Mus musculus: one gene and its partner. The protein of the gene in region 2 interacts with the protein of the main gene of each other region in a pairwise test. Links are inferred from orthologs where the notes say so. Each region holds a gene or a part of one and is shown on either strand. Other genes may lie near its edges.

What was found.
Region 1: the proteins of Map1a (region 2) and Rhob interact in a two-hybrid assay, tested with the Homo sapiens proteins (2 studies listed by BioGRID and IntAct). The link is inferred for Mus musculus from reciprocal best matches to the Homo sapiens genes MAP1A and RHOB.

The regions. Positions count from the first base shown.
Region 1 is NC_000078.6:8,497,210-8,501,443, forward strand, and holds Rhob (rho-related GTP-binding protein RhoB), read right to left. Parts: upstream 2,801-4,234; 5' UTR 2,424-2,800; coding exon 1,833-2,423; 3' UTR 452-1,832; downstream 1-451. UniProt on the Homo sapiens protein: Mediates apoptosis in neoplastically transformed cells after DNA damage. Not essential for development but affects cell adhesion and growth factor signaling in transformed cells. Plays a negative role in tumorigenesis as deletion causes tumor formation.
Region 2 is NC_000068.7:121,296,102-121,299,601, reverse strand, and holds part of Map1a (microtubule-associated protein 1A), read right to left. Parts: intron 3,328-3,500; exon of another isoform or gene 3,248-3,327; intron 1,006-3,247; coding exon 923-1,005; intron 697-922; coding exon 556-696; intron 334-555; coding exon 1-333. UniProt on the Homo sapiens protein: Structural protein involved in the filamentous cross-bridging between microtubules and other skeletal elements.

The sequences.
Region 1 (4,234 bases), on a different chromosome or scaffold from region 2:
TCTTAAATTCTAGCCTGGTCCACACATGTGATTAACCACCCCCCTAAAAACATTTTAAATAATAATAATAAAGTCATCTATGTTTAACATTCACAAACAGCAACCTTTCTTATTGTTGAAGTGAGAGTAGTAGAGCCCAGAATAAACTTCAGACACTTCTTAAAGACCTATAGATGAAGTCAAACCAAGACCTTTGTCCTCACCTAATGGGACTAAATTCACAATAATTAGTACACTCTGGGTGTCTGATGGACGACAAGCTTAGCCTCCTCCGGGAATCTGACAGGAATAACCTGGCCTCTCAGGGTCACCCAGCCCCTAAAAGGTGCCAGGCTCATGGCCATATTTACTACTATAGAGAGGCTGCAGTTACTGCCAGAAAGGACCTCCACAAGAACTCTTCCCTTACCCCCAATTCAGACATCTTCTGACACTATTAAGCCACAGGAGCTGTTTATAAATGTCATGATCATAGTCTTTTAATATTTTACATAAAAATCTGTATACACAGCTTATAGAACTCTTATGTAAACATCATAAGTTCACCATTTGTCATCTGTCAGTTTATTTAAAAAAAATAAAACAAAAACAAAACAAGACAATTTAGAAGTACCACTGGGCTGGCGGGGGGGAGAGGGGGGAGGCTTTTCTCTGCACATGGAACGTACAGAAAATTTCACACAGAAGAGACTTGTCTTGTGGGAGGGGGGGTTTAAATAGACCCCAATACCTGTTGCCTTCCTTTACCAAAACTGCGTATGCTACACAAATTTAAAGAAAAAATTCACACTGTTGACATTTTTTTTTCAAGAAAACAAAGCAAAAGTTAGTTGTTTTTGTAATCTTAGAGTCATCATAGTTTTAAAAAAACCATCAGAAGTAGATGAGGTTACAGCATACAAGTGTGGTCAGAATGCTGTCTTATGCAAATGACAAGTACACTGGGTGTCAAACAATGGGACAATTGTGCAAAGAACTCTTTCATCAACAACAAAAAGCTTCAGCGTTTAAATAAATTCAGTAACAATAGTCTCTTGAGCTGAACAATGTTCATTTGTAGGACAGGCACAAAGTTCGCTTATGGCAAAAGTGACCCCACTGCACACCCTGGATCCTCTGCCGGAGGTTCGCTGGGGGTTGGCCCAGGAGACACTGTCTGAGCTGCTTCCTCTCGACCCCAAGTCAGTTGCAAATGTCTTCCCCAGGGTGTGGAAAGATGGCCAAGTCCAGTTCATGCTTGGATGGGTGGGCGCCTGACCCAGCCTGGGAAAGGAGCTGCTCTGGGCCCTGGTCGCCCCACACACCACTAAACAATACCATTCTGCCTCCGAAAATAAAATCTGTATTTATGTAACAGCCCCATCCTCCCCCCAGCCCTCCCCTCCCGCCATTCCAGGGGTCTATGTTACAGACATGGAGCAACAGTAGTGGCTTGCTGGTTACAAGCAAACCTGCTGGGGGCGCAACCACTCTGCGTGCCCCTGGGGAAACCAGAGGCGGGGGTGGGGCAGGAGTCGGGTGGGGTGTAGGGAGTCGTACACACACACAACCACACTTTGAGGCCTGGCTCTTTAGAAAAGGATGCTCAGGAACCCCTTGGCACTCAGCAGGGTGCCCAGGCCTGTGCCACACAGCTGGACACACACAGACACTGGGAAGGGGGAGCTCGGTGCCCACGCTAATTCTCAGCGTGACCAGCCAGAGCCACCAGCAGATGTCAGGCAGTCTGGTGGTGTCCTTGGGGGCATGGGTCTCCCTTTCTCCCGGTTCGTGGGCGACCGGGCCAAGGAGGGGGAGCCACGCTGGCAAGGGCGTGAGGCAGGACGCGTCCCTCATAGCACCTTGCAGCAGTTGATGCAGCCATTCTGGGATCCGTAGCGCTTCTGCAGCGCGGCGCGCGTGGCCGTCTCAAAAACCTCGCGCACGCCCTCCTTGGTCTTGGCCGAGCACTCGAGGTAGTCATAGGCTTGGATGCGCACCGCCATGGCGCGGCCGTCATCCGTGCGCACTGGCTCCTGCTTCATGCGGGCCAGCTCCGTGCGGACATGCTCGTCGCTGCGCAGGTCTTTTTTGTTGGCCACCAGGATGATGGGCACATTGGGGCAGAAGTGCTTTACCTCGGGCACCCACTTCTCGGGGATGTTCTCGAGAGAGTCCGGGCTGTCCACCGAGAAGCACATAAGGATGACGTCGGTGTCCGGATAGGAGAGCGGCCGTAAACGATCGTAGTCCTCCTGGCCTGCCGTGTCCCACAGCGCCAGCTCCACCTGCTTGCCGTCCACCTCGATGTCCGCCACATAGTTCTCGAACACGGTGGGCACGTACACCTCGGGGAATTCGTCTTTACTGAACACGATCAGCAGGCACGTCTTGCCGCACGCGCCGTCGCCCACCACCACCAGCTTCTTGCGGATGGCCGCCATGAGCTCGCCGGGCGCGGGCAGCAGGAGGGGCCCGCGAGCGCCTCGCCGCCGTCCCGCTCCCTGTTGCTTGCCGCTCCCCGCTCTCCCGCGACTGCGCGCTGCGGGCTAGGCTCGCTAACTGCACCTGGACCCCGCGGCGGCGCGGTCTCTCGGGGCGCTCCGGTTGCCTCGGCAGGGGCGCAGGGGCATACGGTGCACTGAGTGTCGCCGCGCCGCTGCCGCGCCGCTGTGGTCCTCGGCGGTCCCGGAGCTGCGCTGCTTTGTGCGAAGTGATGGCTGATGCTGCGGACCCGGCCTAGCTTCTTTCCCGGGGCGGGTTCACTCTAGACCTAGGGTACAGGGGCGCAGACGACGACAACCGAACTGCGGTGGCAGATGCGGGCTGCGGCCCTAGCGCCCGCTATTTAAAGAGTCCGGCCACTTTCTTAATATAGCCACCCAATGGGAAGCCATAGGGCTGAGCTCATCGCTGCGGAGCTTGGCTCCGATTGGTCGCCCGCTGCAGTCCGAAGGCGGGTTCGCCTTAGCTTGATTGACTGCCCTGTCCGCGGGGCTGGGAGAGGCGTTGACTGTGGAGTCTGCGCGGCGACCCGCCCCGTGGGGTTGTGTGGCCGCCGGGTCCCCGCCTTCGTCGCAGCCTCTCTGAGTGCGACATCGTGGAGCAGGCAGCCTGGAGCCCTCCGGGTCTGGGTGGGCAGTTCCGAGACGAGCTACACTCTTGTGGGGCGTTGGCTGCTCCCAGGGCTTCAGCTTTATCTAGCTTCCGAGCGAACTACGGGTGATCAAGCATGGGGGAGGGGCGGCGCCTTTAACGTGGTTTTGTTTTCACTTAAACAGACACCGGTGCACGGTTTTGTTACCTAGCCAAGGGTTTCGTTCTTTCTTAACTTTGTTTAGATAACTAACCCCTCGTGTGCTCTGGGCCGAATTCTGACACTTACCCAGGGCAGCCTTTTCACTGAGAAAGGCTAACAGTAAATTGTGTGGGCCTGGGTGAGTCCCCTCTCGGCTTTCTCTTCAAGGCCCACACTTAGGTCTCCGGGTGAAGAAGATAAGGGGAGGAATCTAGGAGACACACAGCTGTAGGACAAAGGAAAGCGAGGTGCAGGGCACTCCGCTGAAAAAGAAAGCACCCAGCTTGGGCAGGCAACCTTCACCCAGTCCTACCACATTACATCTGATTCTCGCCCTAAAGCCAGAGAACTGCTTGAAGTACACTGTGCAAGGAAACCCATCTATCCCAACAACTCTCATGGAGCAGATGAAAAGCTTCAAGCTGGGAAAGCAGGCATGCGGCCTCGCAGGGAACTTGCCGGTGGGCACACGGTTTCTGTACAGAGGATGGAGTTTCTTCATACACACCAGGTCTTAACTCGTGAATTACCACTTCCTGCAGGAGATGACACCTCTTCCTATCTTAAAGGATTTAAGCCAGTCCACTGTAAGAAATAGGAAAGACAGAAAGCTGCAAAGGGCGTCAAAGAGGGCCTTACCCCGCCCCCAAGAGAAACTGAACAAAGAAAAAGGAGGAAAGAAAGTGGGGAAATGGCTTAACATTGCTGCGTGGGGTCCTCATGGAGGGCTAGGCTAGGGGTACCAGCTAAGAGAAAGCTTTCTCAGTGACCATGTCATGATGACCTTATGACCCATTTCTTTGTCTCTCTCTCTGGACTGTGAGTTGTCCGAGGGCCAGGATTTCCTCCCACCTGAGCATCATGAAGACCTAGCACTATGCTGGGCCCTAAAGAAGCAGTAAAAATGGTCCGTGCAGTGGTAGGCCTGCCCACCTGTAGACCCAGCCACACAGGACG
Region 2 (3,500 bases):
CAGGATGTTAAAGCCATTGACAGCAAAGAGAGCAGAGTCCCCACGGCCACCAGGGAAGATGTAACAGCAAGGCTTGGAGAGCTTGAGGAAGCCTCCTGAGGTGGGGGGCTCAAGCAGGTCAAAGGGGGACGGCACATCCACCGTCTCAGAGACATACTCGGAGAACTCGGCCACTCCATCCATGGTGGGCAGCACAGGCTCAGGATTTAGCCGGAGGTGCAAGGTCTCTTGGGAACTAGACAGTCCCAGGTGGCTCCAGTCACCCTCCCCTAAGCAGGAAACAGTGAGGAAGGCCTGGATCCCAGGGTCTCTATTGCTAAGCAACTGGGCAATCTAGAGGAATAGGAAAGAGAAGCTGATCAAATCATTGGGGTTATCTTAGTCTGACCCAGATTCAGCCCCTACTCTTTACCTTTTTCTGAGGTAAAATGCCTACCTCCTGTCAGGGTTCCTGATAGTCAGTGTTTATAAGACTTCCCCTCCCTTGCCTTTCTCCCTACAACTTAAGTCCTGCCTCCTGTCCCCTTCTTCCAAGACACGCAGCAGGGAACTCACCTCAGGTTTGTGAAGGACCTGGGCGAAGTTTTGATATGAGTAAGTACCACTCTGTAGGATAAGGTCTCCCTCGGGTTCTAAAGTTTGTCCACTCAAGATGAGGAGTTTGTGAGCTGATGGGCTACTAAGAAGATGGTGAACCTGAAATGGAGGGCAGAGAAGGCACAGGTATGGGGCACCCAGGGAAAGGCACTGAAAATCCCTGCCCTGCCCCCTTCAGTGATATAAGGACACATTCCTCACTCCGTATTCCCCAGAGTGGGGCTGAGGATCACAAGTCAGTTCAGATAGTAGCCCGAGGTATAGTGGCGCCGCCAAGGGTCGGTTATAGCACTCAGAACAAGCGAGGCGCAGGCACTGGCCTTACCTCTGAGCTGATGCTGTCTGCAGTGGGGTTGACTAGGATGATGGTCTCGAGGGTCTCACTCTGGTGGCAGAGGGTCCTCTGGCCTGAGGGAGAGATGTAGGCATGTGTACTGAAATCAGTAGGTATTGATTTAAAATGAGAAGTACTGGGGGGGGGGGCACAGGGGAGGAAAAACAAATGATCAGAAAATGGGGTACAGGGTACCCAGTCATCTAGGATGCCACTAAGGGAGGCCTGGGAACTGCCTCCTCCAGCCCTTCCCTTTCCAGGGTTCTCCCTCCTCTCCCCCACGGTAGCAGACTTCTCCCTTCCCTCCATCTGCCACACCCTCCGATGCTGCCCAGTCCCCGCCCTTTTGCCTAGAACTTCAGCCCCAGACAGCTCTGTTGACAAGGAGCTTTTTGTCCCTCTGGAGCACTAAGTTCCTGGTGCTGCCTGGGGATTGGGGGTGGGGGGAGGGCTCCAGGGATGGCGGTCTTTACGGAGCTTTCTCTGCCTTTGCCCGCGGCTGGCAGTAAGGAGTTAGGCGCTTCTGTCTCAGATTCCCCTTCCTTTCCACCCCAAGTCCCCTACCCAAGGACAGAACACCTGTAATAGAAGATGATGGAGACACGTGGCAACTGGTTTCTTGGAGGGGACAGAGGATTCTAACTTGCTATTTTGTTTTCTGACTCTGCCAAGCCTTCCGTGTCAGAGCCGTGCTCCCACCACCGTGCTCCCAAGTATTTCACAGCTCCCTCTCCTCTATCTCCCTCACGTGCCCAGGCTCTAGGGACACCCAGCTCGCTGCAGAACTCATCATCCCTGCGACCAGTTCCCTGCCTCAGAGTACAGAAAGTAAGTGGCTGGCTCAAAACAAGAAACAGGGCCAGCGATGCTCTCTGCCAAGCATCCTAGGACTGGAGGTACAAAGAGGAATGACTCCTGCAAGCTGTTTTTTGACCTACCTATACACGCACACACAGACAGACAGACACACAGACACAGACACAAACACAGACACACACACACACACACACACACACACACACACACCACAGAATTAAAAACAATAGCAAGCAGGGCATGGTGGTGGCGTACACCTTTAATCGGGAGGCAAAGGCAGTTGGGTTTCTATGAATTCAAAGCCAGTTAAGTTCCAGGACAGCCAGAGCCACACAGAGAATTCTATCCCAAAACACCTAGCCAAATAAAAAGCAGGACCGCCAACAACAGCCAAGGCATTGCTTAGGATGGGGGGGGGGGGGCAGATCCTCTCCCCAGGGCTTTCTCCAGACCCACATAAAACACTAAGCAGTGAAAGTAAAGAACACAGTGGGTGAGAAAGAGGCTAAGAAGGATGGACCCGACTTCCCAGGTTCCTGCCTTCCCATCTGCCTCCTCTTCCAGCACAGTAGCAGTCACCGTAGGGTTAACCTTAGGGGCAGCTGGAGGATACTGGGGAGGGGAGGCTCAGAGTCCGTTCCCTGGAGCCCTCTTCGGCGACTCCAACTCCCTTTTCTTTTCTGAGGCTGGGACAAGGGTGACTGGGGCCAGGGCCTTTGTTTAGAGGAAGAGCCTTGATGCCAAGGAGCAGGCAGCAGATGCAACTATGGGGAAGATGAAGGTGTCAGAGACCCAAATCCTATGCAGGGCCTGTTGGGTCCTCTTCTGTGAACTTGGGAGTGGAGGGACACTTTGGCACAGGCAGGCAGGAGCAGGGCTTACGCAGCCTGGGCTATCTCCATCCTCTGCCAGTCTTAAGTCAGACTTAGAAGAGCCAGGACTCCCCCATCACAAACAAGGTCACACTTCAATCTAGGTAGAACAGAAAGACACGTCCTCTCCAGCTACCATCTCCCTACTCCAGCAGCTTCACGGTCCCCAGTGTATCCTCACAAGACCTTTGACCCCACTTCCTGGCCTGACACAGGACCCCCAGCCCCACTCCTGGGGAGCTAGTCCATTACATCGCTCCTTATCCTGGGAGAAGCCTGGTTTCTCTCTTCTGCCCCCCAGCTCTTCCAATGAAGGGAATTGCCGGGTTTTTTTTCCCCTTTATCTTTGCAGAAGACTATCTTAAGAGATTGGGGCGCTTCCCACAGCCAGTGCTGTGGTTGGGGGTGGGCTTCGGGTGTGAAGCTGAGTGGGCAGGAGGGCAGGTGTCTCTGCAGTGAGGCGGGGGGGGGGGTGCTCAGGCAGCTGCAGTCTGCCGCAGTGTGTGAGTGTGTGTGTGTGTGTGTGCGCGCTAAGCTCAGCCTCCAGCTCCAGCTCCGCCCCCACCCCCCACCCCAGCATGACAAGTCATTTTCTTGGCTGCCTCTGCATGGGGGGTGGGGGGTAGGGATGGGGGTGCATGCAGAGCAGGAGAAGAAACTGGCTTCTGTTGGAAGAGCCCCCATCTTGGGAAGGAAAGCACAGATGAGGTGAGGGTGGGGCCGAGGCAGGGAACCCGTGGGGTTGACAGGACGGAGAATGCAGGGCAGCTGCTGAAGAGCCAGGGCTCTCAAGCTCCTGAGTTGCCTCAGAGAGGCCACAGAGGGGGGCTTAAAGCCCCAGGCTCAAGCTGGCCACAGGGAATGGGGTGCGGGGAGCCAAA